Schizosaccharomyces pombe: one gene and its partner. The protein of the gene in region 1 purifies or fractionates together with the protein of each later gene. This does not show direct contact. Each region holds a gene or a part of one and is shown on either strand. Other genes may lie near its edges. The genes, in order: rgf2 and wsc1.

Region 1 (17,090 bases):
TCATATTTATCAAGTTTTTGCAGCATGTTATCGACAGCAACAATAGGGGTTAATTCGTTGCTCTCATCCCAATGAAAATTCATAATGGCCAGTAGCACATCAACCATACCCGTACGAAGATGTTTTAAATTTTCTCTATAAGAATCAACGGAACGATGAGTAAGCCAACACCATATTTCCATCCACAAATTATCAGAATAATCACTATTTCGCCCTTCTCGAGAAGAAGCAATCTTTCTTAGCCGTAATTTTTCAGATCGGACTATATCACCAGTCAGAACTGAAGTCAACATATATTGCCATTCAAAACGTTCTTTGTTTTTTGGGTTAGCCATTAAATCATCAGAAAGTAAGGATGGGAGATTCAGAACAGATTGTACCCAATTTACAGTTGAAGTCTCAGAATCTAAATCCGAGTCCTCCTCATCATAAGTTTCATTAACATTAGAAAAGTAATAAGTTGAACTATCACGACGAATGCTTAGAGAAGGATCGTTATAATCATATTCTGGGTCAAAACACTTTAACGAACTACTCAGTCGTCTTAATTGAGATTTCCTCTCAGGATGATCTTCAATTTTAGCAAATGTTATAGAATTTCTTAGTTTGTGAGAACGCTTGGGCTTTTCTGGCAAATTTTTAGTTTTGCTTGGAACTGCTGTTGAATTTATGTGTTCAACATCAATCATTGGCGACGAAATAGAACGTCCTCTGTGCATATAATCGTCTTCCTTAATACCGGGAGACTTTATTATCCTATTTGAGCTAATACTACTTTGCAGACTAGGTCGGATAGGATGATCGAGGTTTGAATGACCAGCATTCTTAATTGGTATAGGAATGGAAGAGGAAGAAGTAGGAGGATGTAGTAGATTACTAGTATCGCTTGGACTTACGGCATAAGCACGATCTAATTCATCAATATTGATTGGGTCAACAGGGGTAGAAATAGTAAGGGCCTCGGCTGGAGGCTGTTCAGCCATTCTGAAAGCTTCTGAAAATAAGTCCTCTTTGGCGCTCGCCTTGGATCTATCACTTGAGCTACGCGCAACAGATGGCCTTCTGTGATTTTCTTCTTTTCCGTTGTTAGGAAGTTCAAGCATAGACGAGGTAAAACTTGAAAGTAAAGTCAAAGAGCGACGATGAGCCTTTTCAAATGTTTTATCACGCAATTCACTATCAAGAATTGGATTGATAGAAGATCGCCTTGAGCCATTTTCTAGTATATGTGAATTGACCACAGAAGGATCCAAAATATTTTCCATGTTTGTTGAGGAACAAATTTCGAATTGCTTCAGAAGTTATGTATAAAAAAGACCGTTATACCCAAATTTAAACCCAAAACGGGAAACAGATAAGTTTGGAATAGTGGCAAGTAGTAGTAGAATAATTGTTTACTGAAGTCAAAAATGGGAGTGGGTAATGAAAAAGTGGTTTACAGATGCAAGGAATGCCAACTCAGTGTAAGGAATTGTGCAGCGAAGTCAATGCAACTACTGTTATATGTAAAAATAAAAAATCCGAAGTTGACAAAGACAAATAACGATTGCAGGAATTACCAACCGAACAGAATTCAGGTTGTAAGTATATTAAAGTAATGCAGTCAAATTGAGGAACGTAGAGAGAGAGACACACACACACATCCAAAGCAATGGGTTTTCGAAAAGATACGGTAAATATTAATGAGCAGAAAAAAATGATAAAATATTAAATGTAGAAATTCGGCTTAAAAAATCGATAAAAGTGTTGTGTAAAAAAATTATACGAGCCGAAGAGCAGTAAAACTACCGCGTATAAATTGTTGAAAGAGCAATAATCAGTGAACTAAAAAGTCAATCCTCCTTGTAGAATATGTGGAATTGACAAAAAGAAAATTTATAGGTTTGCGGTGTGCAAAGGATAAACAACTAATTGTGGTCTAACCCCGTAGTATAGTATGAAGTGGGGTACTAGTTTTAAGGATTTTCAGTGCAATGAGGAATTTCTCACTAAATAGCAAAATCATAGATATGGGTTTTCAGGTATTTTTGATTTACATTCTTTTACTTTAATTTAATAAAATCTTTTTATCACAGAATAAAGGTTGGACTAATATTCACAAAAGACAAAACATCTGTCTAGTACTTTTTCCGAAATATTATTGCAAAATAGATTTATTAAAAAGAGAAAACGAAAGAAATTTACAATAAAACCAAAAGCTTCTTAAGATGCAGAAGTATAAAAAGGTTGTAATGGCCAGTTTCACCTTTACTTGCTATCCACCAATGCGAAACTGTTCTCACAATTATTGAAATTATCCTAAGCGAAATTTTGACACTTTGGATAACAAAATAGATACTTCCCATTCCATTAATGGATTAAATAGCCAAAAAGAGAAACTCAGTGTAATAATAGTTGGAGTTGGGACATTAAATAATGCACATGATCGTTTAGCCCTGGTAGCATGGACGCATCGAAATCTAATGAAGAATCCCCTTCCAACTTAACTTTATATTTTGATAAAATGTTTTGCGCGTCCTCATCCTTTAAATCAGAATAATTTGCAGGATCCGCTAACCGTAGAATAGCCTTAGCCTCTCCTAAAATCTCTGAGTCCTTGTCGTAAATATCTTTGGAATTTGCCTTTTCGTAAAGATCTTTTAAGTCTATTTGTGTTTTTAGTTAGCAGCGGTTAAAACTAAAGCATTACAACACATGAATGTCTTACCTTTGATGGATCTCGTAAATTCCTTCACCTCAAAAAGCTGTTCTCGAACGGTGTGTCCTGCACTGTTTACCGTTTCGGGAATTATCAATGGACTATCGAATTTCACATTAAAGTCCTGCTCCCAATCTGAATCCGCATCGTCCGCAAATAAATCGCAACGAGATGAAAATCGAATATCCGATGAATCGTTATTTATATGAGTCGTTTGCGTATTGTCTTGAATGATAGGTTCCGACACTTTCGACGACTCTGGCGAAGTAGTCGATAACTCGTCCCAGCAAATACCATCCGAACTCTCATCTTCTTGCGTAGTCGCACCCAAAGAAGTTTCTTGGATTTGCTTAGCTAATTCATTTATCCGAAAGGAATCTGTCTCATTATCATCATGAAGCTCACCTTCAATAAATCCATTAACTGAAGGTAGTTCAGCACCTACACCACTAGCCTTGCTCCCTTTATTGGCCGAATTAAATTCATTACTTAACGCAGTTTTTTTACAGTTGCCTTTGTTTATCTCATTCGCCGTAAAGTGAGACAACGACGTACTGTCTGCACCTGAAGCGTTGCGTTGTACAGTACTTTTTGACTCAACTCCTATGAATGAAAAAATTCGTTTAGAAAATTTTCGGGAGTAACTTCTTAAGCTTTCAAATGCTGAGGGTTTCCTCCATGAGCCTTGATCTATGCATTCGGAGGTGTTAACTTCTTTCGGTAATCCAAGCTGTTTAGGGCGCCTCGGTGTAATATCTGAACCATAACTTTTCATGCCTTTCACATGCCTTCGTTGTAGAGTCACACCTTCAAAAGAATGACCCCTATTCTCTTCGAAAGTATCTGGAACCTCTGCCATATTGACAGAAGAATAGAAATATTCACTTAAATTTTGTTGACTGCCGTATACAACTCCCATTGACGAAATACTCGTAAATCTATATTTCTCTTAAGCTAAATTAAAGAAAGAATTATTGCCGTAGAGAAAAGACTGTACGCGTCAACCCATTCAAGTGTGTAAATAATGGTAGAAGGCACTTTCGTCAAGACCACGCTTTTGTTAGTAAACAAACGGTCGTCATGAGAACGACATAACGAATTTTGAACATGAATCTGTAAATGATTTATAAGGAAATACAAAGTTCTATAACATCAAAGAACGCAATTCGTTATGTTGTTTAAGCGCTATATAATTCTGATAAATACTTTATAACGCGTTAATCGTGGTTACGTTAAATAGGGCTTTGTAAAGATGGAATGCTAGCAGAGATAGACTAGGAAATGGAAAAGACTGTCTATTACAAGTTTTATTCATTAAAAATGTTCAACTTAAAATAAATAAGTTAGCCAAAAACTGAAAAGATGAATGACTCTACAAAGATTCAAAGCCACTGCTCGTTCATGAGCACAATGTTAGCATCAAAAGTTGCTATACGCCTTTCAACTTTCTTTACTTGCTTACGATAAACTCTTCAACTAACTCTGTTGATGCAGGGAAAACATTGTTTTCTTCTTTTCTTTCATTACATTGACTTAAAAGTCAAACTCTTTAAAACTAGTCAAATAATGTTTGCAGTTTAAAGCTACGTTTTTGAGAGCGTAAAGTGATGCAACCTTTAATCTCACAGTTAATATAAACATAGCGAATATAATAGGTTAATGGATCAATGATTAATAATAACTTTTACCTAGCAGAATTGTTTATTACTACAGACCATTTAACTTTTAGCAAAAGGAACTTCCTAATTCCTTACAAAAGTACGACTGGACAGTTACGGTTAACACAAATACGTTAGCTCTGAGCAAAAAAATTAATTCCACAAAGGTATACGCAGTAAATAAAAGTTCAATCCAAAATACAGATTGACATCCTCTATTCACTCATTTAGTTTTACCAAAAAACAAAAAAACGACAAACCTTCTAACCAAACTACAACACATTTATAAAAGTAATCACAGAACAGCTACACGAGGCTCAAAAGAAGAGTAAATATATGTAAATCAACCAAATCCAGCCTTTTATTTTGTGACCTAATGAATAAACAGCGTAGCCGAAAAAAAAAATCCTTTCTCAGCAAACACTAACACGACTCACAAAAAACCATATGGTGAGCAGCTATCAACCGGCACAGATAAAAGAAGCATTAAAAACATGGGCAAAGAAAAGCAGATAAATTAAGTTGCGGGAGGTTTGCCGGGTTGCGAGAAGAGCAATCACGGAGCGTTCCATATCTAGAACAAAGAGAAGAAAGGACTTTTGTATTTTTTAAATCAAGTCAGCAATGTTCATAGGCATTTCCTCAATGTGTGTATTGTAGAATTGTTCAATCTCACGCATCATGCGAACATCGTCGTTGGTAACAAAGTTAATGGAAACACCCTTACGACCGAAACGACCACCACGACCAATACGGTGAATGTAGTTTTCTCTGTTAGCAGGTAAGTCATAGTTGATAACCAAGGAGACTTGTTGGACATCGATACCACGAGCAAGAAGATCGGTGGTGATAAGAATACGAGAAGAACCAGTACGGAACTCATGCATCAAAGTATCACGTTGAGCTTGGTCCATATCACCGTGCATGGAGGAGACGGTAAAATCACGCTCAGTGAGCTGCTCGGTAAGCCAATCGACCTTTCTACGGGTATTACAGAAAATAACGGCTTGAGTAACAGTGACGGTTTCATAAAGATCGCAAAGAGTGTCAAGCTTCCACTCTTCCTTTTCAACGGCAACATAGAATTGCTTGATACCTTCCAAGGTAAGCTCATCTTTCTTAACAAGGATACGAATGGGATCACGCATAAATTTGGTGGTGACTTCCAAAACATCTTGAGGCATGGTGGCAGAAAGAAGAACAACTTGAGCAGTAGGAGGCAAAAGTTGGAAAATGTCGTAAATTTGGTCCTTGAAACCACGGGACAACATTTCATCAGCCTCATCAAGAACAAACATTTGGACGGCATCGGTAGGAAGAGCACGACGTTGAATCATGTCGTGAACACGACCTGGTGTACCAACAACAACGTGAACACCAGCTTGCAAGGCAGCCATATCATCACGAACAAGAGTACCACCAATACAAGCATGGCATTCAACATTCATGAGATCGCCTAAAGCAACAACAACCTTTTGGATTTGTTGAGCAAGCTCACGGGTAGGAGCAAGGATAAGAGCTTGGCATTGCTTCAAGCTAGTGTCAATCTTCTGCAAAACAGAAATTGAGAAGGTAGCAGTCTTACCAGTACCAGATTGAGCTTGAGCAAGGACATCACGCTCTCCCAAAATGGGCATAATGGCTCTTTGCTGAATGGCAGAAGGACGCTCAAAACCGTAGGCATAAATACCACGGAGAAGCTCAGGCTTCAAATTCATGTCGTCGAAGGTGTCAATAACCTCATCGTAGTTGGTTTCAATAACCGAATCCTCCAGTTGGTCTACCATTTTAGCAATCTTGCTTAGCTAGGTGAGTGGGTTGTGGAAAAAAAGTTGAAGGGTTGTAATAAATATTTTCTCTAACACACAGTCACACACCTGAAAAATTGTAATAATTCCTGATTATTTTAGTACTTTAAATACACAGACTTTTACTGAAAAATCTATTTAAAAAAATTATAAAAACATTTATGTACACACTTTACTTTTAAGATTTTAGATGTCTTCTAAAAAATGATGTAGCAAGAAAAACCCTACTGAACGTGGCGATAAACTCCTGCACACTCTATCGAAGCCTGCGTTAATGCTGTTTAATACAGATAAGCAACTCGTTGCGAAAAAGTGTATTTTACGTGGTAATATTTGGTGAATGCTAAAACATAAAAAATGTTAAGGAGTTTGGAATGCATATAAAAGCATTTTTTATTATTGTAACACTGTTCATGTTATCTTCAATAGTATGAAAAGTTATCGATTACACATGAGTATTTTAAACAATCACAATAAAAGATAATGAATGAATATGCTGAATGCAGAGAGGTTGTTTATTAGTTGACTAAAGAAATGCATAATAAATCTATGGAAAAAGAATGATTCGTAACAAAAACAGCGTGCAATGTTGAGCAAATTGAAAAAGACACAATTCGTTTAATAAAACACACAATCGTCAATAGCATTATCTCAACCATAGTAAATATATGTACGTAGGAATTTTTAAAGTTATTCCTTAAAGAGATGAAGCAGGGTCATAGATTCTTGAAGCTTAGATTGTAATAGCATATATTATAATCAATTGATGTGGCATGCAAAAGATGTCCGGAGTAGTAAATAGTATTCCAAAATGCTCAAGGAGAAGTTCGCACAAATGTTGACAGTACTGTCATAAACGATCTAAAGTGCAGGACCTGCTGCATTTGCTGGAGGAAGTATTAAAGAATGAACTATAGGATTTTCTCCAGATGAAAATGGAATTGGCTCAGTGCTGTAAAGTATTTCACCTCCTTCACTAATTAACCCTCGGCCATCAGTTAAAAGTTTAATGTTTTGTCCCATTATGATTTGAACGAGTTCGGCTGTTTCGGCATTCCTAATTTCAATGAAGTCCGGCTCAAATGCCAGGATATATGGATAACACAAAGCGCAACCTTGAGGTTGGCCCTCCCAATTAATCATCCAGGATTGCCTAGATTTCCAGCCATTCGTATTAACAAAGAATGCAAAATCTGAATAACAGAGGAGAAATTCTCCTCTTAAGCGAAACATGGCAATCGGTCGAATATCTTCCCTCTTTTCTAAAAATCTAAATGAAGTATCAGCAGGATTTAACAAAGATTGGAATACGGCATTTTCCAAACTTATAATATCGAATCCCTTAAAACTTCCCACACAAAGCTTTGTCTTGAGAAAGTGAACGGACAAAGCTTCCATCGGCATTTGTACCTCCTAAAAAAATGTTAGTATAGAGAAAGAACGACGAGGTAACTCACAGTAAATATTTTCAAAGTTGCTTGATTGCCAAAAGGCTTTTTTAGAGACTGGGTCTTTTTGTTCTTCAAGGCACGATCAGCCTCATAAATCCTCAATGTAGTATTTAAAACGGTGGACTTTACCGCACAGACTAAAATTCTTTGCATACAAAAACCTGTTTTGACGAAACTAACATGACCTGTTACACGTCGCAAAGACTTTGAATTAATTTGTTCTACTGAATCAAGAGCGTCCAGAGGTAACTCGTACAAAATCTTCTCGGCTAAAAGCAATAGAACGTTATGTTCCTCAATTACATCTAGTTGAGAGATATTTGGTAATTGCAGCTTGAAAATGGGTTCAAGACAACTGCCATTATTACTTTTTCGAGAAGAGATATATAGTCCCTTGTAAGTTCCAAATAGTAATTTACGGCCCGCATCTAAAGAGCTGTTAACAAACATTTACTTCTTTAACATATTGTTTATTATACTTACCATAGGCAACGGCACATAATAACTTGTTGCCGGTAAACCAGGACTGACAACATATGCCTCGACTTTCAAATACCAAATGACGCTTTCGAATGATATCTTGCTGTTTCTCAATGTGTTGTTTCCATTGGTCTCTAGCAATCAGTGTATTGAGATAAAGACTTATAGAAAAACCACGGGCTCCAATAAATACTAACTGCAAACCGTATGCTTTAACAGGAGGTGGATTACTTTTTGTAATTGAAATTGGATTAGTTAACAAAGCAGAAGATGGTCGACGCGGAAGGCTACCTCTCGATGGCGAGTCTTCGATGTAAGAAATCGACAACAATTCTAAAGGTAATGGCCTGAGATGCAGTTTATGAACTCTTCTTTTCATTTGAATCTTTATCTTACACAACAAGAGAAAATTGTCCAGTAAAAACATGTGAATGTCGTTTTCAGTGTCCCCATTCGAATAACTACTGGCTTTTAGCTTGACGACGCCTTTGAAAATCAATAAGCGAGATGGATCAAACAATGTTAATTTTGCTCGATCCGCAGGGCTGCAGGAAAGCTGTTCGTTTAACTGTAACAACGAGAGTCTATTTTCAGTCTTCCCTGTTTCATAGTTAAGCTTAGTAAGAAATTCACGAATCATTTCGATTACACGAGGAATGTTTTCCGTATCAGGATTATCTTTATCAGTGTACTTAAGAACTCCACTTAATAGTAGCGGATACCTCGCAAGGCGAGTCGTAGGCTTGGTCAAATAACCATTAAGTTCTAGTTTTCTAGACTCTCGTAATCTTTCCACTTCATGAACATAATTCGCAAAATTCCTATTCGTACTTTTTTCACGCTCAAATTCAAACTTGGCAATAGCCTGATTGGCACCATATTTTATAAAAGGCTCAAATTTAGGAACATAATCTAAGAAAAGATCACCAATTGTGTTAACTACAGGTTGCAGAGTTTGAGTACGGTTTAGAGCATTTGACAAACGAGAATTGACAGCATGGATTTGCATGATATTATGAAAAACGCAACGTATAAATTGTTGTCGGTTGTTTTCTGGTATTACATTTGAGGTTGAAAGAGGCTTAATCCAAAAGTCACGTATATACTCTAGGTCTCTGACGAAGTCCCGTTCTGTGTAAATAACCTCAAAAATGATTTCCTGTCTTTTCCATTCACGGACATCGATCTGGTCTACAACTTGCTTAGGAACATTTTCCGACCATAAACGATGATCTTCCTCTTGTTTATCTGTAATCGAAGTTGATCCCCCACTTAATACAGGTTGGACCTTCAAATGGAGACGGGCCTGCTGCTCTAGTCGACGTGGGCAAGATATAGAATAGCAAAGGCGATTACGAGAACATGTAGAGGAGTAGCATTCCGTTAAAAGAGTAAACACTCCATGAGGATTGTATTCGGTTTCAGGAGCTTCAGGCTCCTTAGTAATTGCGCTTAGGGATGAGGTGATGAAAGCTAAAGAATTTACCTGTACAGACGAGGAGATGGTAGGTGTCGTAGAAGAATCAGATAAAACAGAGTCAAATGAATCAGACGTGTTCGCTCTTCTTTTTGTGTAGAGAAAGTTATTTTCGATCGACGATCCATTGGAATCCATCGAGGAGAGACCAGGAGGAGGAGAAATGATACGTCGGTACTGGTAAACTTCCTTGAGCGAGTCGCGAAGTCTATGAGAGTAAGTAACGTCATGAAACATCTTTTGCGAATCCAGGGCTCTTCCTAAAAGTAACGCCAAATTCCTGTCAGTCGTCCGAACTATATGCATCAATACATCGACAGCTTCCGATCCAAGAAAGGCATCTTTATAAAGAAGACCATCCTTCACACGGTCACCGATGTTAAGACGCTTTCGGAACTCAACGGCGACTTGAGAAAGAAAAGCCGGATGTATATAAGGGCGACGAGATGAGGTAGAATTGGAATGCGAAGGGGCGATGTTCGAAATCGCAGATGCAGACTTGGAGCCTGAGTGATGCTTAAGTAAGACGGCAGTTGATCCTTCAGGAAAAGATGGCATGGGTGCATTAACATGGACGCTATTTTTTCGAATGTTAGGATAAGAACTGCCATTAGATACATCAGAGACGGAAAACGACTGGCGAGTATGGGGTCTACCGAGCGATTGTATTTCTTTCCTACTACGTGCATGAGAAATGCCAAAATCATCTGTGGAGGAAGAACGGCGATAAAAATTATTTTTTTTATTAACTTCTAAGCCATCTCCAGGACCCGAATCTTTTCTGGATAGCGAAGAGGGAGAAAAGCTAAGGCTCGATGCAGGACGAAAATGATTGCCATCATTTTCATTAAGGGATGTGGTAGATGATAAAGCGGTAGGAGAATGTGTGATAGAGCCAGAACTCCTTCTTTGGAACAGTTTTTGGCTACTGCTAAATGATGAAAAAATACGAAATCCTTTAGCTGCTTTACCAAACGATTCATGAGACTCAGAGTTTATATTTCCATTCTGAGCTCCATTGCGAAGCATTTTCTTGTTTGTTGATTCTAATTTTACTACCCTCTCGAGGTATCGCAAGTTTTAGAAAAACGGCGCTATGCAAAGGGGCTTTTCTGATACCAATCGTCCGTACCGACACAACAACAGAAAGAGAAGAAAGATATTTTTCAAATTCAAGTAGTACCTTTTTTTTTAACGCTCCAATTACTTTCAACAATAAAAGGTTCTACAAGACAAGTCGTCTTATTTGAACATGGAAACTTCACCAAATTCCTCTTATTATACACGAGAAGCCGGAGTACGTATATTAATGCCAATTCTCCGGCTTTCCAATTATTCAAACAGCTTGGATACTCAAAAGAACGGATTTGAAGTGGATCGCTGCTTACACTTCTATATTATGGGTGGTGCTTTGGGTAACCTTTTTCTGTTATTGTGTACATACACCTAACACACACCGTTAACTACAGCCGACAATACTTGGACTGATATTACGCACGGTACCGCAATCAAGTGTGGCTGTTGCTATTATAGAGTAATATCACATTAAAGCCCTTCGATTTTCGGGTCGCTTGTGCGAAGTTAAAGTAAGAGCATCTGCGCAAACTCAGCCAGAGCGCCCACCTGTGTTTTGCTGCGATTCTATGAAAAACCGCAAAATCTGTATCCTAGCTGCATTAAGTACACATTAATGAGTCTTTGTTAACGAACTAAGTAATTAATTGATACATTGAGCATTAGCATATAACGAGTTCAGCATGTTGAGACTCCGATTGAGAAGTATTGTAATAGGAGCTGCGATAGCGGGATCCATACTGTTGTTATTCAATCATGGTAGCATAGAAGGAATGGAAGATTTGACAGAGATTTCGATGTTGGAGGATTACACTCCGGAAGCCGCTAATAAAGATTATGTTGGTCAACAGGAGGAGGAGGAACTTTTGTATGATCAACCGTCTTACATTGAAGAAGAAGAAGATCCAGATTTGGAAGCTTACTTGAGCGATTTGGAGAGGGAAGAGCTGGAACACAGCTTGGAAGAACTTGATGAAGAAAATAATTATAAACTTCATCTACGGTACTCCTTTTCACAGCTTCAAGATTTTGACGAAGAAAATGAAGCTGTACACATGATCGTTCCTAAAGATACTTATGAATTTGAGGTGCCTTATCACGCTGACATTCCCAAGTTAATATGGCAAACTTCCAAGGACCCTTTTGATAGAGAGGTTATGAAGTACACTCGGTTTTGGAGAATCAACCATCCCAGTTATTCTCATGCTGTTTTAGACGATGAGCAGTCTAAAGCATTGGTCATCAGTAGCTTTGGCGATTCATCAGTTTCCAAGATTTCACAAGCGTATGCAATGATGCCTCTGCCTGTTCTGAAGGCCGATTTCTTTCGGTATCTAGTGTTATTGGCAAAAGGTGGTATTTATAGCGACATTGATACGGCACCATTGAAGCATATAAACAATTGGATCCCTCGTGAATATCGTAAGCGTAATATTCGACTGATCGTTGGCATTGAAGCAGATCCCGACCGCCCTGATTGGAACGACTACTATGCCAGGCGTGTACAATTCTGTCAGTGGACCATAGCTGCTGCACCAGGCCATCCAATTCTTTGGGAACTTGTTCGTAGAATTACCGATGAAACTTGGAAGCTGCATGATTCAAAGAAGCTTTCGAAAAATGGCGAGTCAGTAATGGAGTGGACTGGTCCAGGTATTTGGACCGATGCCATTATGGATTATTTAAATTGGCAGTATGGCCCTTTCTCGGTTGAGAATATCACCAATTTAGAAGAACCTTATCTTGTTGGAGATGTTTTAATCCTACCCATAACTGCATTTAGTCCTGGTGTCGGTCACATGGGTAGCAAGTCTCCAAATGATCCGATGGCGTATGTTCAACATTTCTTTGCCGGTTCATGGAAAGATGATTGATCGTTTGAAATGTGGGTGGGTGGTCATTTCTTGGTATAATGTGCTTAAAGTGTTCGAACCGGGCAATTCGATAATACTAAATACACGCATTTGATCTGGTTTGGAAACTGTTACGGGTTGTGTTCGAGCAATTTTTGTAAATTATAGCTTGCGCAAACAAAAAAGTTTCTTTCGTGGTTGATTTAATCTTTCCCTCATAATTCTACATCTCTTTACGATTAATTTTGCATGTATTTTGTACGTTAGCCAATCAAGTTGGCAATATTGGTGACATTATTGAATTATATGAAGCCAATGCTTATGTCCTGATGATCAACTTTCTTTTTTTTTTTTTTTTCAGCGCTTTCATCAACGCGTTTTATAGCTCAGCACTATAATATTTTCCCTTGTAAACTGTTTTGAATTCTAAAGCTGTTTGTTTCTTTCAATAATTTTATAAAACTTTTGCGCTGATCACAATCAGTCTTTTTCAATTTTTTTCTCTTTTGTGATGGTATATTGACCCCAAAGCGTTTCTGTATACTTAGGTGAATTATCAAAGTAGTACAGAGATTATGCCTAAGATTTGAAGATGAATGATAAACCTGTTTCGGCTTTGTAATTACTTTATGTCTTTAGACTTGCATGAATGCTTCTTGGGATTAAAGGACCTCATATTTCTTCATTAAATTTTTGAGGTTTGTCTCTCTTTCTTTGCAACTACATTTTTTTTCAGAAGGTGACTTTATTTTGCTAGTAGTATTAGCGCTGTATTCTATAATATTTGTTTACTTTGGACCGACAAAGTTCATCACTTTACAGCTTCAACTATACATTATTTTTATTATAAATAAATAGACTGAAAAGTGTTTCAATAATTGAATAAACTTACTATTATCTTTTAAAGCTATGCTAACGCCCTTGCTTTGAATACCTTAGAACATTAAACACCCATATAAGAAGTTATTGTAGTGTTTATTTACCTCCATTTCCCACTGTCACAAACACGATTGTTGAGTGCATTTACAACCTGAAGGTTTAATGCTTTTCCTAATTGATGTTAAAAGTATTTCTTTTTTCCGTTATTTCTTTTCTATAAGTGCAGGATTTACATCTTCGAATTAGAAGCATCGTTGATAAATCTTACAATTGGTAGATTGCTTGCTCAAAATTATATTTTAGAAAAGCCTAACTTATTTGATTAAATACTTAATGACTAAAGAAACTCACGAAAATCATTTGCGTACGCATAACGGGATATTTCCTGTTTCTTTGCTCTCAACTCAAGCGCGTCAACTTTTGAATTTCAAGCTAAAGAGTCCTTCCTATTATCTTTTAAACAGTTTTAAACTCTTAGTTAAATCGGAAGGGAATAATCAATCAACCACTGCAGATGTAACTTTAACAAAATCACCAAATGCTTATCATGCTTCCAGCGCTAGAGAAGAGAAAGATTTACAAGTTTCTCGGCGGGATACTTGCTTTTATTGCAGTAGAAAAATTATCAAATGCATATGCAACGAAGAACACGTTGGGATTGAATCAGTTCAGCTTAAACTTATACTTCTATTGTGCCAAAATCTACCAAATGTTACTACTAATGCAAAAAAATATTTCAGTTCACTGGCTGATGGCCATAATTTCACTTTGACGCTTTATAAATTTTCTTTAGATAACCAAACATTTTCTCAATTACTTTCTCGATTTAAATCTTTTGCTACTTTGACTGAACTACTTCAAGTGCACAATGTTATGCTTCAAGTAAACTTTTCCTTTCAAGCAAGGCAACTAAACACAGAAATTCAACTACGACGATGCCATTCGTTAGAAAAAACATGGAAATTCTTATTTGGCGATTATGAATTACCTGATGTTCTAAAAGATATGGAGTCATCGAATAGTGATTGGAGTGACACATCTCTGAAACGAATTGCCTATTTATGTTCTCTTGTTGAGGAGCTCAAACTTCATTCTTCTATTATGAACGACAAGTATGTGTGCCTTGTGTCCAAGCATAACAACGCATTGGAAGACAAGTTTAACAGTGAAGCCGCGCGTCAGTTGTTGCAGAAATCTCTAAGTATAGTAGCGTCAAATTTGAAACAAGCCGAAAATAAAACTATCAGTTATGAAGAAAAGCTTTCTATAGCTCAAAATTCTATTAATGAAATTCAAACCCAAAACAGGGATTTAAAACTTGAAACCGAGAAGTTACAGGATCAAATCAAAGCGTTGCTAGAAAGAAATCAGTCATTGCAAGAAGCTCTAGAAACTGTTAAAAATGATGAAAAAAATCTGAGAGAAATGAACGCCAATTATGAAACCGAGATGAAAGAAGCGCGTCAAAAGTTAAACAACAAGGAGGCATTAATTAGTCATTATGATGATGATTTTCGAGCAAAAGAATTAAAAATTTCAAGACTTTCCGAAAGTCTTAGAGAAAAAGCAGGCTTATTGGAGTTTCAGTCTTCTGTTAGTGAACAAAGGGATCTACTTTATCAAGAACAAATACAGTCGTCAATAAAGGATATGGAGAATGTATTTCGAAAAAATGAATATCTTATGGAAGAACTTAATGAATTAAAGAACAATCTTGAAGTGGAATCAAGTAAGGTTTTGAGACTTGATGAAGAAATGAAATGCCTAAAGGATGAGCAACTCTCTCAATTTGACACGGTCTTTAGTTTGACTGATGAACGGGATGGATTACAGAAGGATTTAAAAAACACTAAGGGAAATCTTGACGATGAAATCGGGCGCTCTGCATTTTTAAAAAGCCAAATCAGGGATCAAGAGCTAACTATTGAGAAGCTCCATGACAGTTTGGAGACTTTAAGTCAAACTAACAATAGTTTACAGTGTGAGATTTCTGAAAAGAATGCAGAGTTAAATTCAGTAAACTCCAAACTTTCTGAAGGTAGAGCACACCTGGAAACCGCGAATAAGGAGAATGAGATATTGAAGCAGCAATTGGAGTTAAGTGAATCCAAATTAGCCAGTTTGTTAAACTCTTATCAATCATTTATTAATAAAAAAGAGCACCTCTATTCTTTTTTACAGCTTGTCGAGCCATCGTTCGCTAAAAGTGATTCATCTAATGCTACCGAATCCCAAATTTCCGAAAGTGTACGAAAAGGAATTTCAATATTTAATCTTTTGTTCATTGTTTACAAAAACGTATGCTCTCAAGCTGGAATTAATCCATCTACAAAGCTTGAAGATCTTGATGAACATACACTTTCTGATGAGCTGACTTATATAACAAAAAAGTTTGTACAAAAGGATCAAGAATACCAAACGAAGGAAATCGAGTTAAGGAATTATAAAATTACTCTTCAGTCGTTACTTGAAGATAAGCTTATCGGTGTAAATACTGATTGCAGATCACCTTCTTGTTCAGACTTTGAGCAACTAGGGCAAGAAAGCGAAAATAATACTTCTATCTCAGGAAGGGTTAGTAAATTAGTCAAAAGCTTTAATGATTCATCTTCTATTTCCAACAACACAAAAATCTCAATCACTAAGTCCCCATCTGGTGAGAAAGTTTCCGTATTTAAAGAGATGTCAGACATAGCTCTGCGCGATATGGATAAAAACAGAAAATTATTGGGAGAAAATGTTGACGTGAGAAATATTGTTGTCCAAAAGGATGAGTCATTGAACATTGACTTACAGAATAATGCTGTAGTACCTGAACTGCACTTCAAGGAGGGGATGGTATACGATTCATTGGAAAATGCGTATACTTATTTGGCCGAATCCAAACGCATGTTAGCAAATGAACTTCAGATGAAGCAAGAAGATCTTGAAAAAGTTATTTTAGAACTTGAAGCTTACAAGGAAATCTTCTTAGAAGAAAAACAAATTCCTTGTGAGGAGTTTATGCCAGGTAAGAACGCAAAATCCGAAAAGTCACTGCGGTCAGTTTTTCAAGAGCAGTTGATGAGAGAAACAAAGCGAGTTCGAAAATTGGAAAAAGTAAACTCTGAATTGAAATTGCATTGCTTTGAACTTTCTGAACGATTGAGGGAGCGCGAGCATACACTACAGCAAACATTTGGAGACAAATAGTATGTTCGCAAGTAGTAACAGATCAAAGGTACTAGCCTCATTGAGATTACCAATAAATAATCTATGAATACGGTCTTTCGTTTTAAATGCTTGAAGGCCGCCTGTTAGCCTCAAATGATAACTTGACCGGTCTTAAAATTTCGAGGTTTATGGGGGAATTTCAATAATAAATAATAACAAAATCTAGCATTTTTGTTAGGTGATTACATGAAAGCGTTTTGATCTTAAATCATTTCTTCAAGCTCCTGAAAGGCTAAATTTTTCATGTAACGGATTAAACAGACTAAATTCAGATTAATAACTTAAGCAACGGAAGAGTATGTTATAAAACTGCACGATTACATATTCCTCGGTCTTTAGTATTTTTGCACGATCGGCCTTGTAATCAGATACGGAACTACCTTTTCGATGAGGGTTTTTAGTAAAAAGAGCTATTACCAGTGTTACTGTCAATAGTCGGCTTTCGTGCTAAAACATCATAAACGGATACCCGAACTTTTATTGCACACGAAATTTGCAT
Region 2 (16,318 bases), on another chromosome or scaffold:
CCACCTATAGTGGAGACAAAGTTATCGTCATAGTCGATAGGACGGGTAAAGAAGACATAATAATATCATCAGAACAGCTTCGTTGTACTCAGACATCAATCAGCATACGGCGAACATACCTTTACAAACAAGTTTAACAAGGCACTTAAAGAACGACAAAGATTCAGTTTGAGTTCAAGGTTTCAGTATGCGTACGGGATTTACCCCCTACTAAGCTTTAACACCCAGTTAATCTCAAACTATAGTCAAAAAGATACCACAGCAAGCGCAAAAAGGAATATGGTAGGTTTTTCTACCAACACAGTACCAATTACTGCACCAAGATGACTTAATCCCAGAAAAACAATAAAGCAACCATACACGACAGACATACTGTACAATCAAACGACTAGAATCAGACTAGAATCTCTCCAAAAAATACAACACAGATACAGGCGAACGCTTTCCAAGAGCCTGAAGGAGAACCATCCTAATATCAATAAATGTAACACACAAAATACAAGCCATTTACGATAAGAACCTAAGCCTTTCAACATCAGATAATCAATCAATAAACCTCTTGTCTCCACTACTTTGGCGTCCTAGCATATTAATTTGATGTGGCTCCTTCAGACTCATGGAAGTAGAACGTTGGCTTATGAAGGCGTCTGATCGGTATATATACCTTTTAAAACCCTAACCCTGCTTCATCCTCAAATTTCTGGAAGGATGTGAGTGGTTGGGGAAGAAGTGTGTAGCAACCGTTGACATCGCTTGTGTCCAAATATGCACTTTTGCGCATTACGGTGGTGAGGTTTGCAGTACGGTATATGGACAGAACGTTTTAGAAAGTAGCAAGTTGGAGTAATGTAACAAACTATAACAAAACAACTCTACAACACTTTTAAATTCGATATGTGTTTATAACATATTAAAACGCGAAAAATGGAAGTACATTAAATAGGACAGCGAGATTTTTATTTTTCTTTATTCATCGTTATATGTTTTCTTTTCACAACCAAGAACACACTTTACAGTTCTCATCTAGAAAATCATGTGTTGAGTAATCTATTAAAAATTTCACAACTCTTCGACACAAAATTTTTTTATACCTAAAAAATCAATGATAAATGACCGTAAAAGAATTACCTGCTTTTCCTTTTCTTTGAAACTAACTCTCGTTTCATATAGTCAATTTTGTTACCTCGTTACACTCACGTGCTATAGTGAGAAATATTTAAAGTAAGTAAATAAAACAGCTAGAGAAACATTAATGGAGTAGTAATTTTCGAAAAACGATATAGAAATTAGACCAAAGAATGAATTAGTAATCAATTTTAGTTCTAAAAAAAACCATATTAATTGTAATCAGTATTATCAAGAAATACTAACTGTGCTGTTGTTCTGTATAACGAAAAAATTTTGATGAATGATTTCTCTTGCAATATCGCATTCATTGCTTTTTTTCAAAATAAAGTAATTCGAGATACATCAACTATATCAAATCTTTCCTGAAATCAAGCCTTTTTTACTTAATTTATAAACATTACACTATGCGACACCATTTAAAAAATTTTTTTTGGTTGATTTCGAGGTATACAAACACAAAACTTAATACCGATGCAAAATTTTTATTTCAACAATATTTAGTAAGGGCAATGATTTTGATGATCTTCAAATTCAAGAACTAATCATCAAATAAGTAATAATGTATAGAGACACTGAAAATAAATTACCGATTTTGTGATCTGTAAACTACGATTGCTTGTATACATTCGGAAAGGAACCTTACAACATATTAAAATAATCAAACCAAGACATTCCTAAATCTTTTTAAATATTATTTTCTATTTATTAATCTGCTGACTCTTACTTTGCAAGTTATCTTGACATACTCTCACATACATTTTTCATTCTTTTTAATATATCGAATTGAAAGGTGGTGTTTAAAACAAAATAAGAGAACATTGATAAAGGGCATACGGAAAACTGGCGTTGATCTCATTAATATTGATACTCGAAATCAGTGTAAAAAATGGGAACAAGGTAAATTACGAAGGAATTTTTTATTCTATATTTTAATTTGTAAAATGTTAATTTATATCACAAATTCAGGCGTTTGAAAGATGCTATCTTCACCCAAATACAAGCCGTTTGTAATAACACAGCGCATCACATTTTCTAAATGTCTTTAACGTAGCGTGCCAATCTCTAATTCACTTAAAGGGTTAACCATGCATGGCGGGCTCCGGCCGTTAATGTTTCACAAGCGCTTTGCACTTTGAACAAATCCAATTCTGCAGCGCTGGTGGCTTTCTTGTAAATTTCGCAGCTATGGTTGCAAACTATGCGTCCATGATGTATCATAATGGCTCGAATATACTAGGATACGGTGTTTTGCGATTATTACAATATAATGAACAGTTAATGTCAGGATGGGAAAGTACCATGAAAGATGATATTGGGTATTGGAGACGATTTGTGCATGATTTTTATACTGAAAAGGGAACATTTCGCTATAACATCGACTACAAAGATTCGCCAAACCAGGAGCCGAAATTGTTTGAATTATCGTATGCAGCACTTCCGCGCTTCTTATATCTGAGTTATTGCGGCAAACTTAAAAAGATGTCGTTCCTTTTGGGAAATACAAAGGAATTTGCCATTCCAAACAATGGGTATTTTGTGGAATCGTCAAGGGCAAGCATTTTATATCAGTATCAAGGCGGTGTACAGGTAATTGTATCGGGGCACTTGCGGGCTCATTTCTTTCGTGCTCCTTTGTTAAAATTAGACTCTTTAGAGTTTTCAGCTGTCGGACATTCCGAGTATCTTTTGCGCGAGTTAATGACAAACGCTTCCCTAGCCCTTTCGCAGTCGCGGCCTCCTCAAAATCAAATACAACACGATGGGGTAAAAAGTGAGGATCCGTCATCCGAAAGTGTAAATATTAACTCATCTTCTTCTCTTTTGCCGGATTCACCCGTCAACGAATATGGATTGGAACCGCACATCATGCGGTTCATGGAAATTACTGAAACAATTTCGGGAATGCGCGATCTCATAGCCTTCACTCTTGCTCAGCGATCGGGTCCGACTAGCGCTTTACATAAATTTGCTACAGCTTTACAACAACAGCATCAAATGCAAAAGTCTACTTCCTCTAATATTCCATATGCAAATCCAGCCCCCTCGGGGTTTAATGGCTCGCCTAGGAATGGTGATGTTGCTAGTCTTGCCTCTAATTATCGTTATGCCAAGCAACCTCCCACTATGCCTGCTAATGCAATTAGTCAAGCTAATCGTCTTTTGGACCAAAATAATATCCCCAATATGGATCCATCAATTCTTCCTCAATCCATGCCGATTGCCTCTGTTCCGCCCTATAGTCTTCAGGGGATTAAACGCCAAGGTACCCATTCCCCAATGGTTGAAGGTGAAAATCCCAACAATAATCCTAACTTCTATTCTTCTGATATGCTGAACGCTCAAAAACGTACCAAGGTATAGCTGTTTTTTTGTATTTAATATTCGGTTCGCTCGCTACTTATACATATATCTGCACTCACTGTTATTTTTCGTTGTCTAAGTTTGAAATTCTTAAGAAAAATTTCTATTACTTTCTTTTTTTTGAGCGTATTACATTATTTATTCCTTTTTCTGAATACACTTTTGTGTATGTGTTCAACTTCAAATTCCTTACCGTTCTCATCATATGCAGAATTTGTCATCTCGTTCCCTATTCGACGCTTCTCTTTTATACTTTTAAAATAAAAAGGAATTTTTTTCATTATAAAGTAATTCTATGTATTTTTACATTGCTCCCTGTTTCAAGAACAAATCGTTTCCCCTGTCGTTGCTCTCGAGGGACGTAAAAGAAACTGCATTAGTATAGCGTTCTATATTCTAACATTCTATTTCTTGCACTATTTACATTATAGTTATTTGGCTGTTTTATATGTTTTATACAAAAATTTATAACTTATAATTACATGATGAGCTACTGTCGGTTAATTCATATTCAACTTTGAGTCGGTCAATGTATGAATCTCCTCAACTTCAGTTTAAATAGACGTGTATACTTGAAATTAATAGTTAAATTGTAAATTGAATATTTAGAAATTTGTATTTAATACCGTGGCAAAATCGTTTAGTGTACTATATGAAGCACTTTCCCCCAAGACTCCATCCTACTACCACCATTTGGTTTACGCACCTCACAATTTAGGATTTCACCATCATTATTTATTAAAACAATTATATATTATTTTTTTTATCATATTTTTTGACTTGTATCCCTCAATGTCAAATTTTGATGATCTACAGATTTTAGATCAGTTACAAACTTCTGCCAGGTTTCGTGGTGATACACGAATCCGAAGATTTAAGGGATCCAATAATTCTAAAAGCCCTTTTGGTTTAAACCCTAGTAGTCGAATTTCACAATGGCCCCGAATTACCTTTATACGTGCTAAGGACAATTACAACCCGGCGGAAGAATTGTGTCAATTAATCGATGAACAAAATGCCCACAATGAAGCTAAGCACCAAAGCAAAGAGATTATGCTTCCCAAGGAAACCAACGTTAAGTCCTGCGAAGATTTATCAAAAACCGGTGAAATAAAGGCGTTGGACATTGTGTTATTTAAAGCAATTACTTCGAAAGGTGATACATTGAAAGTAAAGAAAATTCCGGAATATGCGGAAGCGTTTGATACCACCAAGAATGTAGAAGTTTCAAGTTTTCCTGAGAAAAGCATGAACGAAAATGTTTTGATTCAGCATTCTTTAAATCTTGCACCAAGTGATAAGGAAATTTCATCTACAGAAGAAAGTGAGCAGTTGTGTTACAAAGAACAAGAATCTGAGAAGGAGTTATATTCTAAAGATAATGATGACTCTTTAGACATACTAAATGTTCCAAACTTGGTCAATGATGATATTGCTAACAATAACGCTGCACCTCCACCGCCTTTGGCTCAGGCACAGGAGCAGTTGAGTACCGAAAATGAAGACGAGTTTGATATTGATGACACCACCGATAAAATGACTACGTTTACTATGAACAAGTTTGCCGACCTCTCCGTTTTAGAAGAAGATGATGATGATGAGGACGAAGATGAAGAGCTAGAAGGAGAGAAAGAAGAGGAGGAAGAGGAGAAAGAAAAACCTGAAATATCAAATTACGATGAGACAGAGGGTAAAGTAAATTTTTCACTTGAAGATTCGGAATCTTTAGAATTTGATGAGGGATCAGATGACTATGATTATGCTAAGTTAACGACGGAACTTGTGGGAAATACAGATTCATTAGCCGAAGATGAAGATGATATTTTGGAAGAAGATGAAGATGAAGATGAAGAAGAGCTTTTGGCAATTTTTGATGCTAGTGATGATTCCGAGATTGAGGCATACCTTAGTATTGGAGATACTTTGCAAAATGATTTTACTATTTATGATTATGACAGTGAGGATGAAGAGTACAATAACCCCTCAACTCAAAAAACGGAAAAAGTTTCTCAAAGCAAAAAAGGGGCGAAGGTAAAAGAAGAAAAAGGTTTGAAAAAAGATCGCAAACTTCCTAAAAAAATGCGTAAAGCTCAAAAGAAATTAGAGAGAAAGGCAGGAAAGGCTGTGGCCGCTAGAATGGGAGATGCCTTTTCCAATTCTTTGGACGATGAGAGCATGAACTTGTACGCTGAATTGCAAGAACAATGGCTTAAAGATAAAAGCAAAAAGGCAAGAAGACGAGCGGAAAGGGAGAAACTCCGCTCTGAGGGGCTACTTGGAAAGAAAAGCAAAAAGAAACTTTTGCGCGAAAGCCAGAAGCCGTCTTCTTCCGATTCTGACAATGCTAGTCTTACACGAATTGATAAGATATTTATAAATGATGTTTATCAACGGATGCAACAGTTTAAGCACTCGGCCATTGAAGAAATTTCCCTTCCTCCATGCAGAAAATATGTTCGTCGATTGGTTCATGCGCTTGCCAACGATTTGAACTTGAAGTCGAGAAGTTATGGATCTGGAAACAAGCGGTATACTATGCTTTCCAAAACTCATAAATTTGATGCATCTAGTGTGGATTTGGTTTCACTTACCAGGATTATGGAGCGTTTACAGACCAGGGTTGAGTATCAGTCATTTTCCAAATCTGGTAGGAAATCTCGAATGACTGTTTCCTCTGTGAGGTCGAGTAAAGCCACACGTGTATATGATGGCCAAATTGTTGGAGAAGATGCCCCTGAAATTAGCAAAGAAAATCCAGGTCGTCGGTTGCTCGAAAAGTTAGGATGGTATGCAGGTAAAGGACTTGGTCATCCCGAAAATGAAGGTTCCAAAGATAGTTTACGTGCTATTGTTAAAGTTAGCAGAAGTGGTTTAGGTTAGAAAACCAGGGTGACTGGTCAAACCGAGAAACTAATCAGCTGTGTCTTATTTACTTGAGATAATACTCCAATTTATATATATATATATATAAATATATACTATTCTAGGTTAAGCATCATATTCAAATTAGCGATTTGTACATATTGATGTGAAGTAAAAAATTAACCGTGGGTACTTCGACATGGTGTCTTTCCATTCAAGAGATAAACCGGAAATCCAGAAAGATAACTATCTTTTATTTTAAGATATAAACTTCATTTAAATAGACAGAATAATTATTCTCACTACAGGAGCAATTGAATATGTAAGTTGCTGCTATGGGCATACTGCAGCTAAAGAAGTTCTACAAAACGGTGATATCGCAGTGTACAGAGTTATTATTGCTATTTAAAGAAGATAATCGTAAAATCAGTTAGCGTTTAATATATAACACGTGTAATACAGTATAAGGAGTTATGTAAAGTAACGTTTAGGTCATTTTAACAGGCAATATCGGTCAATAGTGATACCCAACATCGCACTATTCGCAGTTTCAACCAAGTATCAATCGGAGCCTTTTTCATTCGTTAAATAGTATAAGGCAAAAATACCGTTTCGGTAAGGGTCAATAGTGTTCGCCTAGGTTCGACTGACTTCAGCCTTTATGGGGCCCGTCGGAGCTAACTTTTCCACTTAACAACTAATCGAATTCTTAAGTGTTTTTTGACGACAATCTGTCAAACACTGTATCCTTATTAAGGAACTAGTGTATTGTTTAAAGTAAAGGAGTTTTCAAGCCTGGGAAGCTCGAAGAAACGATTCAAACGGAAGCTCTGTGGATAGCCAAGTTCGGTACGGGTTTGTACTTTCGTCCCCGAGTATTTTGTTGAACTTCAGGAATTCGCGTTCTTTTTTAATTCTGAATTAATCTTTACTCTTTACTTTTTATTCGTTCTTTTTTTAAATTCTGTTTTTAATTTCGGAACAAACGAAGTTGGATATTGAGTACTTTTCACCAACTGCTCGGTCTTAATAATTCTTGATTTTGCGTTGCTGAGCCTTTATCCTTTATTGTTTTCTTTTTCATGTTGATAAAGAAGTGATTTTGCAACAATTATTTTCTTCATTGGCATTTGAATTTTTACGCTCTTTATTTTATTTACCCAATCTTTCTTTTCTTTCATTCGGTTTGCGCCTTTTGATAATATTTCTCTTAACTGGTCCAATAATTTGTTTTCTCTTTAGTCTATAGACAAAACAACTTAATTTACTGAGGGCAAAATTTTTATTACCAAATTTAAGTTTTAATTTTCATTCCTATTATACTTACGCACGATTTAATTTCCATGGTCTTTTTAAATTCCTCTCCCTTTAAGGGGAGGTTACTATTTTTTGTTTACCTTTTGATAATTTCTACTCGGTTGGTGGCGGCTGACATGAACACTCAATATGGCTGTTATCTCGTGGATAGTAGCTTAACTGAACAAGGCACGTTTACCTATCTTGATCCAGCGTATTGCTATAACAACATTTGTGGTGGATCTGATAATATAGCATTTGTAGCTATCCGTAATAATCAATGTTATTGCGGTAGTACACTTACTGCTACAGAAGTTTCAAGTTCTCTTTGCACAACGCCTTGTCCAGGTTATGGTTCTCTTATGTGTGGTGGTGATCTGTACTGGTCGGTTTATCTGACTGGCAATGGGGTTTTGCAAACCACGGTTTCTAGCTCGTCAGTGTCGTCTACGACCTCTTCGTCTTCATCATCATCTCCAAGCTCATCTTCAACTACAACAACAACATCTCCTTCTTCTTCTTCTTCTTCTTCGTCTTCGTCGTCTTCCTCTTCTTCTTCGTCTTCTTCTTCTTCTTCTTCCTCATCTTCCTCTTCCTCTTCCTCTTCCTCTTCGTCTTCGTCTTCTTCGTCTTCTTCCAGCTCTTCGTCTTCTAGTTCTTCCTCTTCCGTACCAATAACGTCTTCCACCAGTTCTTCTCATTCTTCTTCATCTTCAAGCTCATCTTCCTCTTCATCTTCTAGTCGGCCATCTTCGTCTTCGTCGTTTATCACGACCATGTCCTCATCTACTTTTATTTCTACTGTCACAGTAACACCAAGCAGTTCCTCTTCTTCAACCAGTAGTGAAGTTCCAAGCAGTACGGCTGCCCTCGCTCTAAATGCAAGCAAGGCGTCAAACCATACGTCCTTGAATGCAGGTGCTATTGTGGGTATTGTTATCGGTTGTGTGGCATTCGCCGTGGTAATGGCATTGTGCATTTTCCTATACTTCTATTTCAGGAGATTCAAAATTAGAATGAGCGACTCGGCAAATGAAGGAAAATATCCCTCCTATGCTAGTGAATTAGATTCTCGCTTGGATCCTGCCATGATGAATCGCAAATCAAGTGAATCTTTGGCTGACAGTCAGGATTATTCGAGAAAGATATTGCGTGTCACAAATTTGAACTAAAACAACATTTTTCTTTTTTACTTTATTTAAATTCAACCAAAAAATTATTTCTTCTTTATGGTGTTTATGACTTTCATAATCGTATGCTACAAATCTTTTGCATATGATCGGAAAAGTGATCATTTTGGTAACGATAAAAAGTTCTTTATGGTCGGTTCTCTGTTGGCATAATCTTATTTATTTATTTTCCCTTATTTTATTCGTTCTTTACTTTTTCTTCTTCTCTTTATCTTTCTTTCGGGAAACTGGATTTGTTTTCAATATGTGTTAAACCGTTGCAGTGTTAGTGACAAATCAGTTTCATATTTTTTTCTTATTCATTTTCGCTTTATCTTTATTTTCTATAACCGTCAATTATGAATTGATGAAATTGGGACTTGGGAAAGAAAGCAAAGTTGGCTTGATTTATCGGCTAAACCTTGATTTTTTTTTTAAATTTAATAAGATAATTTGGAAAGGCTAAACTCCTATGCAATAGTTGTTTTGGCAAAACTGGTTTTATTTCTTTCTTTATTTTTTTCCTTTTCTTTTCTCGTTGTCTTACTTCTTTTTGTTGTTATCTAATTGGTTGTTTTTGTGTCTTTGACGCTATTGTCTAGTAGCGATCTTTTGTACATTTGTCTACCCTTTCTCAATATGATGAACACGCTAAGTTTTCTCTTTTCTTTATTTTCCTGGTCGATTGGTGTTTGATCTTCACAAAACCACTTTTCACCTGGTCTACATCTTAATTTGTTTAGATCTTGGCGCTACCTAATTTGTGCACGTTATGGTTTTTTTCTTTTTACTTTATTTTTATTTACTTCTCCTTTCTTTATCTTCTTTTTTTATCCTTTCTCTTGTTCTTTTTTTGTTTTTGTTGTCCCTTTTTCATGCTATTTAGTGGACAGGTGTATATGTATTGGATATCTATGTATCGTATATATATACCGTTTGCTTACCTGTTATATACACGTGTGCTTGGTGTGTCAGGTTCATTTATGCAATGTATGGATAAATTAAATGATGGTTCTTTTTTGTATAATATTGTGTAACACCAACTTGATCTTAGCACGGGAGATACTTGCGGTTATTATTTTCCTTTATAAGTTTCAACAAGTCAAGTACGTCTTTGGTTTTTCTAGTTTCCTATTTCTTTTACTCTTCCAAAACCATTAGGGAGAAGGGAACAGGAAATAAGGAAACAAGAGGAAAAAAATTGACAGAGAAAGAGAAAAGTTTAACGGACGACTATTAACCAACAAGTTATAAGCATAAAGTATCCAAAGTCGTATGCAAGCGTAATTTGCACTTCAAATGTCAGTCTCAGTGTCAATTATGCAAATGCGTGCCATCTCACCATTCATTCATTGTGTTGTGATACGCTGTGGTTTATATGCAGCTCCCCCCTTTATTCCCTCCTTTCTTTTGATTTACTATTCATCAATGGCCCATTGAGGACCTTAACTTGAAGACGAAGCTAAGAAAACAAGGATAAAACGAAAAGAAAAGGCTGCTGTTAAAAGTCCTGTTTTTTTATAGAAGAATTTGGGTTGTTACCGAATCATTAAAAATGTTCCTTTTCTTTTCTTGACAGTTAGATCGTCTCATGATATTGTTGTTGTACTTTTTAGTTAAATTCCACTTAATTATTTAAACATATAATCCAAATTCAATCCATCCCATTTTTTATTTATACGTTCACAATCACTTAACGCTTTGATTTGAAAGTGGTTTAGTGTAAATCGTTGCACCACCTAATCATTGTTTACTACATTCTTGTTAGAATTTGAATAAAATTTTTTCCGTCTTTTCGCAAGCGTAAATAAACAGGGATTCGCAGCTGCGTCATTTATTGACGAATTTCCCTATTGTGTGACGTGTAGTAGTTCAGCCTTCCCCCCACACGTATTTACACCCACATATATATAAAAAGAGAGAGATTTCCACTTCTCTGTACACTTACCTACTGCCTTTATCCTTAGATCTTAAGTAGGCAGCATTATAACTCATTGCGGAACAGCTTTGTAGTAGCTTTTCATAAATCCAATTCCTTTAATTATTCATAAGACCAATTTTTGGTTAATTTTCTTGTTCGCTAAGAACTACCTTAATTGTGGACCCCGTTGAATCAACCTTCTTTTTATATTGATCAACGAACGAGCAATTCGATTAGGACTAGCATATCCTTGGTTTTCTTGCGTGTTCAATTACTAAAAACCCTGTTTTCTGTTTGTTAATATATATTTTTTTACTCTCCCTCTCTTAGGTATACAGGATGGCCCAGACGTTTCAGGAGAAACAACAGAGTCGAAGGATTAAAATGAGCACTGGAAACTTTTTTTCTAGAATGTGGAATGCCGTCGTGTTCGGCTTCGGTGCGGCCATTGGTGCCTCTGTCGCCAATGCAGCTCTTGGAGCCTGCTGCGGTTAAAAGGGAGGTGGGAATGGAGCGAGGAAGCCATTCTTCTTTATAAATAATTTGCTCCCTTTGTCCTCCTTATTAGTTTATTGGAGGACGTTTACTAGATGATTACTTTTTAATTACGAAACGACTTATTTATATAATCGGTACATGTTTTCCTTCCTGTTCGCATTCATGCATGTTCCTCGTGAAGTTCATTTTATTATGATGATTATTGCTCTCACGTTTGTCTTTTATTGATTTCCTTAAATTTATTTATTCGTTTTTTTTCTTTGATCTTTTTCACTTTAGCGAGTGGGCCCTTTGTCTTTAATTGAAATTCTTCAGGTATTGGCCAATAAGCATTTGCTTAATTCACCTTTTACTTTTTGTATCGAAAATTCAGTAGGTAGGTGGATTTACATGGTAACTAGATGGGTTGGATGTTTGTGATGAGTTAGTGGTTGGATTTGTATTTTAAAGGATGTAGGTAATATCAGTATAGCGTTAGCGACTGTATGGTTTGAATGCAACTTTCATAGACGGACTTTTAAAAAGTCTTATCGAATTACAAAAGAATGTATAAGCGAGGTTCGCTTCAGCTGAAGTGAGCTTGAATACGCTAACAATTTTGTGATGTACTAATGACCGCAACGAGAAGTAATATGAATGCAAGTTAGCAACATTCAAATCAACATATTATTAGCAGTAAATACTTCAAAGTGAATATTGGTGCATTCCCATTAAGCTTATTGTTTTGTAGTTGGTGTTCGTGATAATTCCTGGTTCCTTAAGATTTTCGTCCTCGACTCGATGGTGCTGGTTTTTCCGATGAATTTCTTAAATTTAGTACATCTTTACTGTAAATTAAAAAATTTTATTCCGTGCGTCTTTCAACTCATTTCATTAAAAAAAGAAATTTCAGACAAAGAGTATTTTCTACATTCTTATATCAAGTTTCTTAATATAGTTATTTTTATGGTATTATATTTTATAATAATACCACGTATTTATTGTAATATTAAGGTATTTCGCCGCATTGATTTCATTCATTTAGTAACAAAGAGCATGTGCTTACCTTACCAAGAACCAAATATTACGTTAACACGAACTCACTGAAGAAGAAAATTCTTTAACAATCTTGTAGTGATACAAGTTCACTTATTTAAAAGTTATAGATATACAATACAGTAGAAACGTGAAGTTTGGCTTTTTACATCAAACAATGCGGTCAAACACCTTTGGTTCTGTAATGCGTATTTCGTGGGTTGTAGCCTTTATAACGATGGTTCAAACCCTCGTTTCGGGAGTTCCACTTACTGACAATGATTTGGAGTCGGAAGTCTCGAAGGGAACTTGGTTTATAAAGTATTATTTGCCAAGCTGTGGTGCCTGTAAAAGATTGGGCCCAATGTGGGATAACATGGTTGAGAAGGCAAAAGAACAAGTTGAAGGCTCTAACTTTCACTTTGGTGAAGTTGATTGCTCCAAAGAGCTTTCTTCTTGCGCGAATATTCGTGCTGTTCCCACTCTCTATCTATATCAGAATGGTGAAATCGTCGAAGAAGTTCCTTTTGGCGCTTCCACCAGCGAGGCTTCTTTATTAGACTTTGTAGAGACCCATTTGAACCCTGATACTGATCCTGATATCCCATCCGATGAGGATGTGTTGACAGACGAAGATACAGAAGAAGTCGCCTCTATCCAACCCGCTCTCTCCACTTCCGTCTCTTCTCTTTCATTAGCTTCTACTGCCATGTCCAAAAGTGCATCTGCTTCTGAATTTAGTGGCTCGAGCGTTACTAAGGCTTCCAAAAAGCTTACATCTTCTCCTACTTCTGTGGCATCAAAAAAAGCCACCCTCAGCAGCGTATCTAAGGTTGCTTCTACCTCCTCTCTTCCTGTCACCTCCGTATCCGCCTCCGTAGATCCCAAATCCGCAGCTTCCAAGGTTCAGGACGCTGAATTTTCGATCCAGACCGCTCCAAGCTTTCCTAAGGAGAAGGAAGAAAAGGAAAACACTGAAGAAACTGAGGAATCGAAAAAGTCCATCAACCCAACAGGTACTTCCAAAGCCCTAGCACTTGATGCTGATATTGATGCTGCGTTGACCGATAAGGAAGGTTGGTTTATCCAATTTTATTCTTCCGAATGCGATGATTGCGACGACGTCTCCACTGCTTGGTATGCCATGGCTAACCGTATGCGTGGTAAACTTAATGTCGCACATATTAACTGTGCTGTTTCAAAACGTGCTTGCAAGCAATACAGTATTCAATACTTCCCAACATTCCTTTTCTTTAAGGAAGAAGCTTTTGTGGAGTATGTCGGACTTCCCAATGAGGGTGATTTAGTTAGCTTTGCAGAGGAAGCTGCAAACTTTGAGATTCGCGAGGTAGAACTACTGGATACTGTTAACGCCGAAAAGAACGGTGATGTCTTTTTCTTGTACTTTTACGATGACGATAGTGCCGAATATTTGAATATCATTCGTAAAACTGGAATCCAGCTTTTAGGACATGCTAACTTGTATCTTACTACCTCACAGCAAATTGCCAAGAAATATCGCGTTGTTTCCTTCCCCAAGCTCATTGTTGTTCGTGATGGCATAGCTAGTTATTATCCGGCTAAAATGGCACAGGACAACAAGGACTATAGAAGAATACTTGGTTGGATGAAAAACAATTGGCTTCCTGTTCTTCCTGAACTTCGTACATCCAATTCCAAAGAAATTTTCAACGATGAAAGTGTCGTGCTGTTCTTGTTAAATCCTGAGTTAGATGACTTTGATGAAACTAAGCGTACTGCTCAAAAGATTGCTACCGAATTTTTAGATGAAGAAGGCCGTACTTACCAGTCAAACTGGCAAAAAGAAACTGACAAAAAGAACTCTTTAGTAAACGAGGCTGAAGAGAAAAATGACTTAGAGGCAATAGAAGCTGCAAAGAATTTTCATGTAAATGGCAAGCCATCTCCTACTAGATTTGCATGGGTGAATGGTAAATTCTGGGCTCAGTGGTTGCGTAAGTTTGACATTGATATTGAAGCAACTGGGCCACGTGTGATTGTGTATAATGCTGCTCAAGATATTTATTGGGATGAAACCGCTAAGGGAACTCCTATTTCTATTGAAAAGGATACTGTATTTGACATTATTAAGCAGGTTGAAACCGATCCCGACCATTTGAAATTTAAAATTCTAAAGAAGAATCTTGGTGTCGAATATTTGGAATCATATGGATTGAATATTCGTGTTCTGTATATGGTCTTGGGGATTGTTACCGTTGGAATATTAGTGTGGTACTTTAGCGGAAGAAGAGCTAGAACTCTTCAACGTCGTAGACATTCCACCCCAATCCTTCCTGTTTCTATGAGAAGCACTGGAAACAGTGGAAAGTTTGATTAAATCTGTTTATCTTTTACCTCTCACTTCATCGTTCATCATCTCCGATTAAATAATTTATTGGTTTTATGCGTCATTTACTGTGATATCGTTAATTACTAGGAAATATGCCATAAATGTTGCTTCTATTCCGTTTCGTTGATCATTGAAAAGTTTTTTCAGTCCAATTTTACTTTATGAATTAAAGTTGATTATATTCAATTAGTTACGTTACTTACTTCGTAAAAGGAAATGAGTTTTAATAGAATTCTTCTAGCATTAAAAGCATATTTCAAATATTATAATAAAACATTTTTATTTACCACCAAAAATCCCAATTTAATACAAAATAAACTTCTCTATCCAAATATTTTTACCCAAGGATTAAGAACTTTAAACAATGTTGGAAAAGGCTCGTTTCTTTCCATCCACTTCTAAGGAAGTACTATCAATATCTTCTAATGAAGTATTATGAGTAAGCTCCCATTCATGTCTTAAATAAGAAAGACCAGCAGCATTGTAGCCGATGAGAGAACGCTCCTCCTGTAGTGACCCCCTCAAACTACTACGAATATTGTTTAGTAATGGACGCATTTTAACTGTAGTTGTCAACTGTCGGTGATACGTTCTGAGTAAAAAAAAGATTATACGAGAAACGAGAGGAATTGACCATTTTCTACTAGCCCAAATATCAATAAATCGAAAAAGGGATAAGACGTGCTCAAAAGGAAGCACGAGAAGAGCGTCATCTAAGTGGCTACTACGAATTTTTTTGAAAGTATTCAAAACGTACTCCTCAGCTGAAACACCTAAATGGGCTAATATCGGATTTCTCGGTCCACGGGCTTTACCAGGGCTCTTAAGCAGATCAAGTCTGTACTGAATTTCTTGATCCAAATCCTCTATACCTATTGTAATAGCTTCTAAGATCTTTTCTCCGTCTTTTAAGCTTTCAATTGTTTGCTTCGTGACAGCTGCCACGTCTCCGTCTTTAACCTCTCCGTCGGCTTCAGCATTTTCATAAGATGAAACAAGCGTTGACTCATATTGCTCCTCAAGCTCACGTTCCCGTTCTTCTTCTAGAAATACCAAATCGTCACCTTGTTCCCATAAACGTATTGAATGGTCATGGGAGCCAGAAACAACAAAAGTTGGACCAACAGCTAATGCCCAGACTTCAGAGTGATGACCGCGAAGTTTTAAAATTAGATCAAATGATTTACCGTCCCAATAACGAACTTCTCGATCTTTTGAACAAGTAAAAAAGTTGTAAGTATCTGGTTGAAATGTGACTTCCATAATAGAATCTTGATGTGCAAATATAGACTTGTGGCAATCGCCAAAATCAAGACCCCATATTTTGACATTCTTGTCGGCACTGCAAGTAACCAGCAACTTTGAGTCATAAGAAATATCCATAGAGAGAACTGGAAGCTTATGACCATAAAGATTTAAAAAGAATTTCAACGAATCCAAATAGTATACCTTGACGGTATTATCTAATAGTGAAGCAGCAACGAAACGACCATCAGGTGAAATTTTAACCGCAAGGACATCGTCTGTGAAATCTATTTGTCGTGTTTGCTCTAATTTCAACGTGGTGACTTTTCTAGTGGTACCTGGTACGAAATCAAAAGACGATTTTAGAGACCAGAGTTTGACTGTGTGATCGGCAGAGGCAGTCGCGAAGTAAGTGCCATCGTGACCAACCGCTAAATCCCAAATCGCGCCATC

The links.
Region 2: the proteins of rgf2 (region 1) and wsc1 purify together in Schizosaccharomyces pombe (affinity purification with western blotting, with the first as the bait; one study listed by BioGRID). This does not show direct contact.

The regions. Positions count from the first base shown.
Region 1 is NC_003424.3:5,074,616-5,091,705, reverse strand, and holds rgf2 (RhoGEF for Rho1 Rgf2), read right to left. Parts: upstream 10,989-17,090; 5' UTR 10,602-10,988; coding exon 8,099-10,601; exon of another isoform or gene 8,097-8,098; intron 8,044-8,096; coding exon 7,622-8,043; intron 7,578-7,621; coding exon 7,026-7,577; 3' UTR 6,651-7,025; downstream 1-6,650. Other genes in the region: MAP kinase kinase kinase Win1, read right to left, coding at 1-1,265; Spg1-binding protein Etd1, read right to left, coding at 2,380-2,645, 2,708-3,617; translation initiation factor eIF4A Tif1, read right to left, coding at 4,965-6,143; Golgi alpha-1,6-mannosyltransferase Och1, read left to right, coding at 11,330-12,520; protein mcp3, read left to right, coding at 13,712-16,570. UniProt on the Schizosaccharomyces pombe protein: Stimulates the exchange of Rho1 and Rho5 GDP-bound form into GTP-bound form. Controls septum formation, cell wall synthesis and localization of F-actin patches.
Region 2 is NC_003423.3:1,291,992-1,308,309, reverse strand, and holds wsc1 (transmembrane receptor Wsc1), read left to right. Parts: upstream 1-7,030; 5' UTR 7,031-7,694; coding exon 7,695-8,819; 3' UTR 8,820-10,634; downstream 10,635-16,318. Other genes in the region: ldb1 (LIM domain binding protein), read left to right, coding at 2,314-3,489; sqs1 (G-patch and R3H domain-containing protein), read left to right, coding at 4,282-6,369; SPOM_SPBC30B4.09 (uncharacterized protein), read left to right, coding at 11,077-11,232; SPOM_SPBC3D6.16 (uncharacterized protein), read right to left, coding at 11,050-11,288, 11,347-11,395; disulfide isomerase Pdi3, read left to right, coding at 12,428-14,608; U3 snoRNA associated protein Dip2, read right to left, coding at 14,978-16,318.